Alligator mississippiensis: one gene and its partner. The protein of the gene in region 1 interacts with the protein of each later gene in a pairwise test. Links are inferred from orthologs where the notes say so. Each region holds a gene or a part of one and is shown in the gene's direction. Other genes may lie near its edges.

Evidence for each region. The genes of interacting proteins can lie anywhere in the genome.
Region 2: the proteins of GLP1R (region 1) and CD81 interact in a protein complementation assay, tested with the Homo sapiens proteins (2 studies listed by BioGRID). The link is inferred for Alligator mississippiensis from reciprocal best matches to the Homo sapiens genes GLP1R and CD81.

What each region holds. Positions count from the first base shown.
Region 1 is NC_081824.1:171,750,097-171,753,842, forward strand, and holds the start of GLP1R (glucagon-like peptide 1 receptor), read left to right. Parts: upstream 1-1,075; 5' UTR 1,076-1,136; coding exon 1,137-1,145; intron 1,146-3,746.
Region 2 is NC_081825.1:188,709,235-188,712,980, forward strand, and holds the start of CD81 (CD81 antigen), read left to right. Parts: upstream 1-1,378; 5' UTR 1,379-1,519; coding exon 1,520-1,585; intron 1,586-3,746. UniProt on the Homo sapiens protein: Structural component of specialized membrane microdomains known as tetraspanin-enriched microdomains (TERMs), which act as platforms for receptor clustering and signaling.

The sequences.
Region 1 (3,746 bases):
AGGAAAAACTTTCTGTAGCAGGGCACTGGAGTGTCCATGCTCCTTTCAGGGAGCTAGCAGCCTCTGAAGCTGCTTGCAGGTGGCACAGGGGTGAATGAGAGACTCACCCGAGTGGAGGGTTCAGGCTGGAGCTGCATAGGTCCACAGCCTGAGCCGAATAGACAGTCTGTCCCTGGCAGCAGGGCTGCTGAAGGGACTGGAGTTGATATAAACAACCCTGCAGGCCTAGGAGCTGGTGGCCATTGTTTTATTCTGAACCTACAGAGGGTCCTTGACCCTGGAGGAGGGGCTGCATGTGAGACCAGAGGTCCCGGAGCCTGGAGGAGGGGCTGCGTGCAGGACCAGGGGGGTCTGAAGGCCCAAGGGGCTGAGTGTATAACTAAACAACACCAGAGAGAGAACACCTGCTTGGCTTGGGGCATAGTGTAGAGGAGGAAGGGAGCCACGCAATGAGCCCTTAAGTTGACAGGTGCCCGGCAGAGATGTGGACAGGCCAAGGGGGCCCACTGGCTCGAGGGTTCAGGACAGGGACTGAGGGGCCCGGCCCTGATCGGCACGGGCTCAGGCACACTCAAAGCCCACCGGCAGCCTCCCTTATACAGTGTTCAATAGGAGCAAGGCGCAGTGGGTCGGTAATCCAGGGGAAGGGCTGCAGGGCGCCAGAGAGGGGCCGCGCGGCCACCTCACGCCTGCCCCATGGCCACAGGCTGGCCGCACTGTCACCAGGGGGTGGTGAAGCACTGGCCGGCGCGGGGCCAGAGGCGGCGGCATCTTCATCCCCGGGGTGTTGAAGACGCGGATGGCCAAAGCCGTGGCCGGGCTGAGGGGGGCGGTCCTGCGCTCCCCGCGCCCGCGCCCGGCCGGACCCCGCGCTTCCAAAAGGGTCTTTGGCATCTTGGAGCGTCGGGGAGGTTCTAAGAGCCCTGAGGGCGGGGCGGGGGCGAGCCCGGCCGGGAGGTCACAGCTCTGCCCCGCCCGCAGCCCCGCGGCGGAGCCTCCTCCGGGCGGGGCGGGCCCGGGCTCCCCCGCAGCCCCCGCCCGCCTGGCTACAAAAGGCAGCGGCCGCCCGAGTTCAGCCCAACTCCGCAGCCCCGCCCCGCGCAGAACAGCCGGCTCTGGCCCCGCGCTCCGGTCCTATGAGGCAGGTGAGTGAGCGGGAGTCTCTCCGGCGGGTGGCGCGGTGACACCTGAGACCCAGGCGGGGGCAGGGACCTTGTTCTGCTGCTCATCCCCCTCCCGCAGCCAGGGCTGTGGTCCGGGGATCCTCAACTGGGGGTACCCTGTGACACTTGGGGAGCCCTGGTTGTGCTTGCCCTGCCCTGCCGTGCCCGGGGAGCGGGTGGCATCCACACAACTGCTGGTGCTGGGCTGGCGGATCTGCAGTGCTCAACTGAATGGGCAGTGCCCAGGCCGTCTGCAGGTGGGATCTGGCTAGTGGCTCCCTGGAGCGGGGCGAGGGGCAGCCTGACCCTGCTCCAGCCGTGCAGAGGTTGGCTGTGGGGCAGAGGGGCTGTATTAATGGTCCCCGCTGCCCAATTTCTCAACCCGCACCACAGACCAGGTGCCTTGCCTCTGTGGCTGCTGTTGCCCCACAGGCCAGGGGCTGAGCAGCTCTGCTGTAACCCAAGAGTGAGGGAGATGTGAGAGCTGGCACTTGCTGTGGGTGGCCACCAGCCTGGTGAGTCCAAAACTGGAAAAAAAAAAAAAAAAGGTGGGGAACCGCTGCTGGAGCCTGGCTTGACTGCCTTGGCCAGGTGAGCTGGGCTGGAGGCTACAAGGGCAAGTGCTGCAGCTGAGGGCTGACAGGGAGGTGCTGGGGACTGAGCCCAAGTGAAGACCCTGTCCAAGCCATAGGGTTGGAGAGGGCTGATCCTGCCTAGACTGGATGACCTCTGGAGATGCCTTCCAGCCCTGCTTCTCTGTGATCCTGGCTGTTGACAAGTGGCAACTCCCAGGCAAGCCAGGGAGGTCCCTGTGGAAACCTGTGGCACTCCAAGTCGCAGTGGGGAAGTCCAGCCTTTGTGGCTGAGGACCTGATTCAGTGCTGCCTTGCCCTGACCTGTCTAGCACTGCTTCTGGCAGCAAGCAAGGTGAAGCGAGGGAGGCTCTGTTCAGTTTCCCAGCTGCTAAGAAGCCTGTGGGCAGCGGGGAAACAGAAATTGCCTCAGTCTGGGTTTCCTGGAACAGCTCCGAGCAGCCGGGGGAGCTAGGCACTGTGATGGTGCAGCCCCTGCACTGCCCCTCTGCTGTGGCAGCCCTGGCAGTGAGGCGCTGTAGCTGAATAGGATGTGGCATAGGAAGCAAGAGCAGCAGATGAAGCTGGAGCGCAGGGGATAGTGGGCAAGGAAGAGAAGTGGGTTGCATGTTTGGAGGGGCTCTGGAGGGAGGATAAGAGAAGCCAGAAAGAGCCATTCTGTCGACTCTATGACAGAACGAGGATGTGCTGGTAGTAGGAACAGCAAGGAAAGCGGGGGGAGGGGGGGGTGAAGGAGTGTTGTGGAATAAGCAGTAGGATTTGGAGAAAGGCTGTAGGGCCAGGAGAGGAAGCAAAGATGAGGTTAGGAGCTTCAGCAAGGGATGGGAAGGTGGTGGTGACAACTGGAAAACTACCATAAGGAGAGAGGACTTGTGGAAGGGTGATAGTCCATATGATTTCAGTAGCTGCCAAAATCAAATGTGCAGCTGCTCTCAAAGCAGAAGGGGAATCTCTGCACAAAATGGTCCCCCTGTCATCCATCCGGGTAGATGGTCTTGCCTGCTTTTTAAAATGTCATGGTTAAATGTTTGACACTTAATACAAAGGCTTATGACCTTCTGCTGTAATCCAGTTTTTGGAGCACCTGGACTCCTTTCAAGTTGAGGATGCTGTTTTGGTTACCACCAGTACATGGTAATGGAGAAGGACACTTAGCAAGTTACTTTATTTGCTTGCAGACATGGGGAACTTGGTTTGTCAGAGGGCAAGACAGCTTGTGGTCAGGATGTATATGCTAGAGAAGTAAAATGAAGTCAGCCTGAGTCCTTTGTGGCGGTCGGGTGGCTATCGGAGCTATGGCCAGTAGCCCAAAACGGCAGGTGGATACTTATGACTGATGAAGCGGATTTAGTTAAGAGCTGCCCATGGCCAATGAGTAATGCGCATGGTCAGTCAATGATGAGGAATCGTTGGGCGGGACTCTCTGTTGTGTGGGGATTTTCCACTGTGCCAAAGGCATTCAGCTACTAGGTTCTGACATCCTTCAGGGTAGGTTTGAACACACACACTTGGGTAGCAAGTGAGATTTTTTTTTTTCTTTCCTTTTTACTTGCTTTCACTGCCATTTAGCTGTAATTTCAATAGTATTTTATCTGTCAAATTGTGAGCATTAAAGGCCCTACATGGCCTCTCCTTGGGACAATGAAGAGATTCTTTTTCTTTAGATTAGTCCATGTCTAAATGTACAGATCTATGGGGCTTTCACCATAGTCTTCAGCAGACTGTCCAGCCACTTAAGGTCTTGCTGCTGGGAGCTAGTCTTGACATTCAGTTCACATGTCCCCCACTTCCATTACTCCTGTTCAGTTAAAATACTGCTTAGGGGCTGAAAATAACCCTGTGTGACTCTGGGTGTTGTGCAGCCACAGAGTAGATTGAATAGTCCTTGCATTGGAGTGCTTTTACTCTCAATAGGCTAGATGGGCAAGGGGTGAGGAAATGGTTAGCCCCTGTGCCACCTGGTTATGCTGCTCCGGTACAGTGAGCCAAG
Region 2 (3,746 bases), on another chromosome or scaffold:
AAAGATGGTATCTTTTATTAGACCAACTAAGTTGCAAAAAAAAAAAAAAAAATCTAGTTGGTCTAATAAAAGATATTGCCTCTAGCACACTGACTGCTTGTTTTTGTACACCAACGCGGCTACAACCTATTGTGCGGGCCGGGAGCGGTCTGAGACCCTTGGGGGCACGCGGTGGGCTGTGGCCAGCAGCCTGGCATGTGGGTCGGGGAATGCAGGCCGGCGGACTAGAATTAGGCAAGGACGTGTAGCGGTTGATTAAAGATTATTTTACTTACACCGTAGATGGTTGCGGTGCAGGCAGGAGAAAACTTCGCTTAAGTTGCAGTTACAAAACTCGTACGAACAAGACCCGTAGACAAACTCGAGCCTCTTGAAATAACTCGGAAAGAGCTCTGGATACACACACGCAAAGTTTTCTAGGCTCCGTGGAACGAGCGCACAGGGAAGGGTACATCGAGGGATTAGGCGGTGACAGGGGGAGGCTAGAGATTGATCAGGCCCCTATATCCTTCTTAAGGCACACGCTGGGTTTGTTAGGCTCTGCAGCGCTTAGAGTTCTTCACAAGATGTGAACTCGTCCTCATCCTCCTCCAGATGGTTGTGAAGTCCTCCAACTTGGGCAGAAACCGCTCAAGCCACGTAGGAATAATTTAGAAACAGCCAATAGTGGGGAACAAATTTGCATGCAGGTGGCAGGAACTCCTTTGCACCGGGGTTTTCTCTTTGCAACTGAGAATTGCACCCTGCAAAGAAAGCTCCTCGTGGCGGGAAATAATTCTGCAGTGCTGAAGCACACACAAAATCATACCCTTGGGTTATGACACCTGTATCCACCAGAGCCTCAATATTTTGCTTTTTTCTGTAGTTGCTTATAGTCTGAGGGGTCTTTTGGCGGAGACTATTTTTCCATAAGCCTTCGTGGCTCATATTTGCTGGGTGACTGGAAAAAAGCAAGTGCTGTCTGGATGGTAGCTCCTCTCCCTTTCTGTGTTTGTGGGGTATGGATCAGAAAATACTTTTTTTTTTTTTTTTAAAACATATAGATAGATACAGCATCTAGGATAAGCTTTTCTTCACACACCTTAAACCATATTTAAAGCCTAGCACCTGTTACAATAAACACACCCACACACAGTCCTTTCCCTAATCCAGTTGCAGTCTCTTAGTCCTAGCCTCAATTTTGCGGTTTACAGTCTCAGTTCATTCACTGTCGTTGTCACTGCTGCTGTTCTATGGATGAGGACAGATGCACAGGCTGCAGAGAAATGAGGGGTAGATACCCCCAGGAGGCGGTAGCTTCCCTTTTAAGATGGCCTGTGCTTGGGTGGGCGGATTGCAGGGTGGGGGTGTCTCACAAGCAGGAGGAGCCAGAGAAGCAGTCCAGTTTTCTGCTTATGTTGTGCTTCAGCTCGAGGAAGAGAAGCTGTGATCAGGCTCTGCAAGAGCAGCAGCTCCATCTCACGCTCTGATTTATCAGGCCACAGCGTCCAGGCAGCTTTGCTTGCAGAAATTTTCAGCCATGGGAGTGGAAGGCTGTACCAAGTGCATCAAATATCTGCTGTTTGTCTTCAATTTTATCTTCTGGGTGAGTGCATTTGCTTGGGGTGCAGTTTTGCATGTGATTTAATGGCTGGGGAAAACGAAAAGGGAGTGGGGGTGGGGGGGGGGTAGAGAAGGAAAGGAAGGTGAATGTTATGTTTCAGCTTGCTCTCTCCTGCTCCTGGCTGGTGTCAGATTGCCACCAAAATAATGCAGCAGGCTCAGAAAGGAGCTGACTTTCCCATCCTCTGCAGGAGAGAGGCACAGAGCTTTCTTCTTTTTCCCTAGCAGCTCTGGGGGATGAGACCTGGGGAGGGAACAGCAGCAACCTTTAAGTGGAGAAGATGGAGGGGGGAGGGAAGATTGGCTCACCCCAAAAATGGGTGTTGCATTGATAACAGAGCCTAGCTTGCTCAGAAAACCAAAGCTGGGAACTATCTCTTCCCATCCCCCTCCCCAAAACCACTGCTACAATAATTGATTACAATAATTGAGTCAATTTGTACCACCCCCCTCTTTCTTTTGAAATGGCAAATGTGTTTGGTTTGCTGCGTGTGCAGATGGTCTTCAAACTTAATAAACCACCTGTGAGCTGCACTGGGAAAAAACAATGCTTGGGAGACAGCCTACTTGTTTGTCTGCTAGGTTGATGGGGCATGCCTCTGTGTTCAGTATACAGGTCTGCAGCCATATAATAATCGAGATTTAAGACACTTGGAAAGGTTTTATTTTTTTTAGCTCTGTGGTATGTGTTTTGGTTTTGTTTGTGCCTCCCCTTGGGTTCTAACTGATTGAAAGTTGAGACTCATTAATTGCCAAAATATATGAAAATGTAATGGAGGCCAGGGCTTTGGAGTTGAAAGTTGATCTTTCCTGGTCTTTCTGTCATGTCAAGAGAAAATGAGAACTGTGTCCTTTAAAGAGAAAATGCCAACTGTGTTCTACGTATACAGGCTTTTATATTCAAGGCCACTTGATTTTTGCCAAACTTTTTTAATACAGGCAGCAAATTTGGATCTGGACAATGCATGTAAATGGCTCGAAGTGATGAGAAATGGAGCTCCTAAAAATATGTTTAACCAGTGGTAGGATTGTTCTGTGTTTTGAAAGATGGGTGGAGTGAGAGATTGCAGCCTCTACATGGGAAGTGACAGTCTGTTGCTGTGGTTGAGGTTGCTATAGCTTGCTGCTTTGGAGATGTCGTTCTTGGAGGCTCTCAGATGTCACCCTTTCCTGCCGTCTGCCTCTTATGTGGAGAACAGTTTTCAGCCTGGAGGGTGGGGGTTAAAACTTGCTTGGTGGCTAAAGTAGGCGGATGATGGTGTCTCAAAAGAATTGGCCACTCCGAGCTACTTCCCACACTCCTCCCACCTATCCCTCCCTCCCTGCCTGGAGAATTTTGCAGGGACCACACCCCACTGCTCAGAAAAAGTCTTTGCCTCATCTGCAGGTTCAAGAGGGGTTTGGGTTTGTTGGGTTTTTAAGTCATATTCTGTAGTCAGTGCAAGTTGGGAAATATTCTTTCCTACTATTTGGAAACAAGCTGTCTTCCCTGTGTCTGTCCAGAAAGGGCATCCCAGAGGGCTCCAGCAATTAGGGGGGAGAATAGTCAATATACACAGCTTTGTTAATTCAGCAATTGGTCACATCCTTGCATTTCTCATGTGCGAACGTTTATAGATATGTAACCAGGATAAGTGTTACTGCCTAACTTATGATGAGCCACCCCCGCTTCTGGGAGAAATAATAGGAATTGGGGGTGGGGGGGAGAATGTCTTTTGTTCAATTTAGCTGTTTATTTTTCATATGTTTTTCCTCCCCCTGAGATTGCTGGGGAAGCTCTTGTAGCTAGCTATCATTACTGAAAAACAGTGGAAGCTGTTGCGGTCTTGTTGTAGGTTGGCAGTTCAGATAACACACAATTCTTGCACCTTTGCCAGAATGAGATAGTTGCTTAATACTTTCTTGACTGTGGCCCCTGGTTTTAGAGTTAATGTTTTCCGAATGTTTATGAACACATGGCTATGTCTGACCCTTCAGTCTACTTTTTAATCTGAGGTCACAGCACATCTGGGTGCTGATCGGACACTGCAGAGTGGCACCATTTGAGAGATGCAGTTTTACATTAGTTAGCAGGGTGATTTAAAAAAAAAACAAACCCAAAAAAATACCCTGTGGATTCCCATTTTCACTGAGTTCTGCAACAG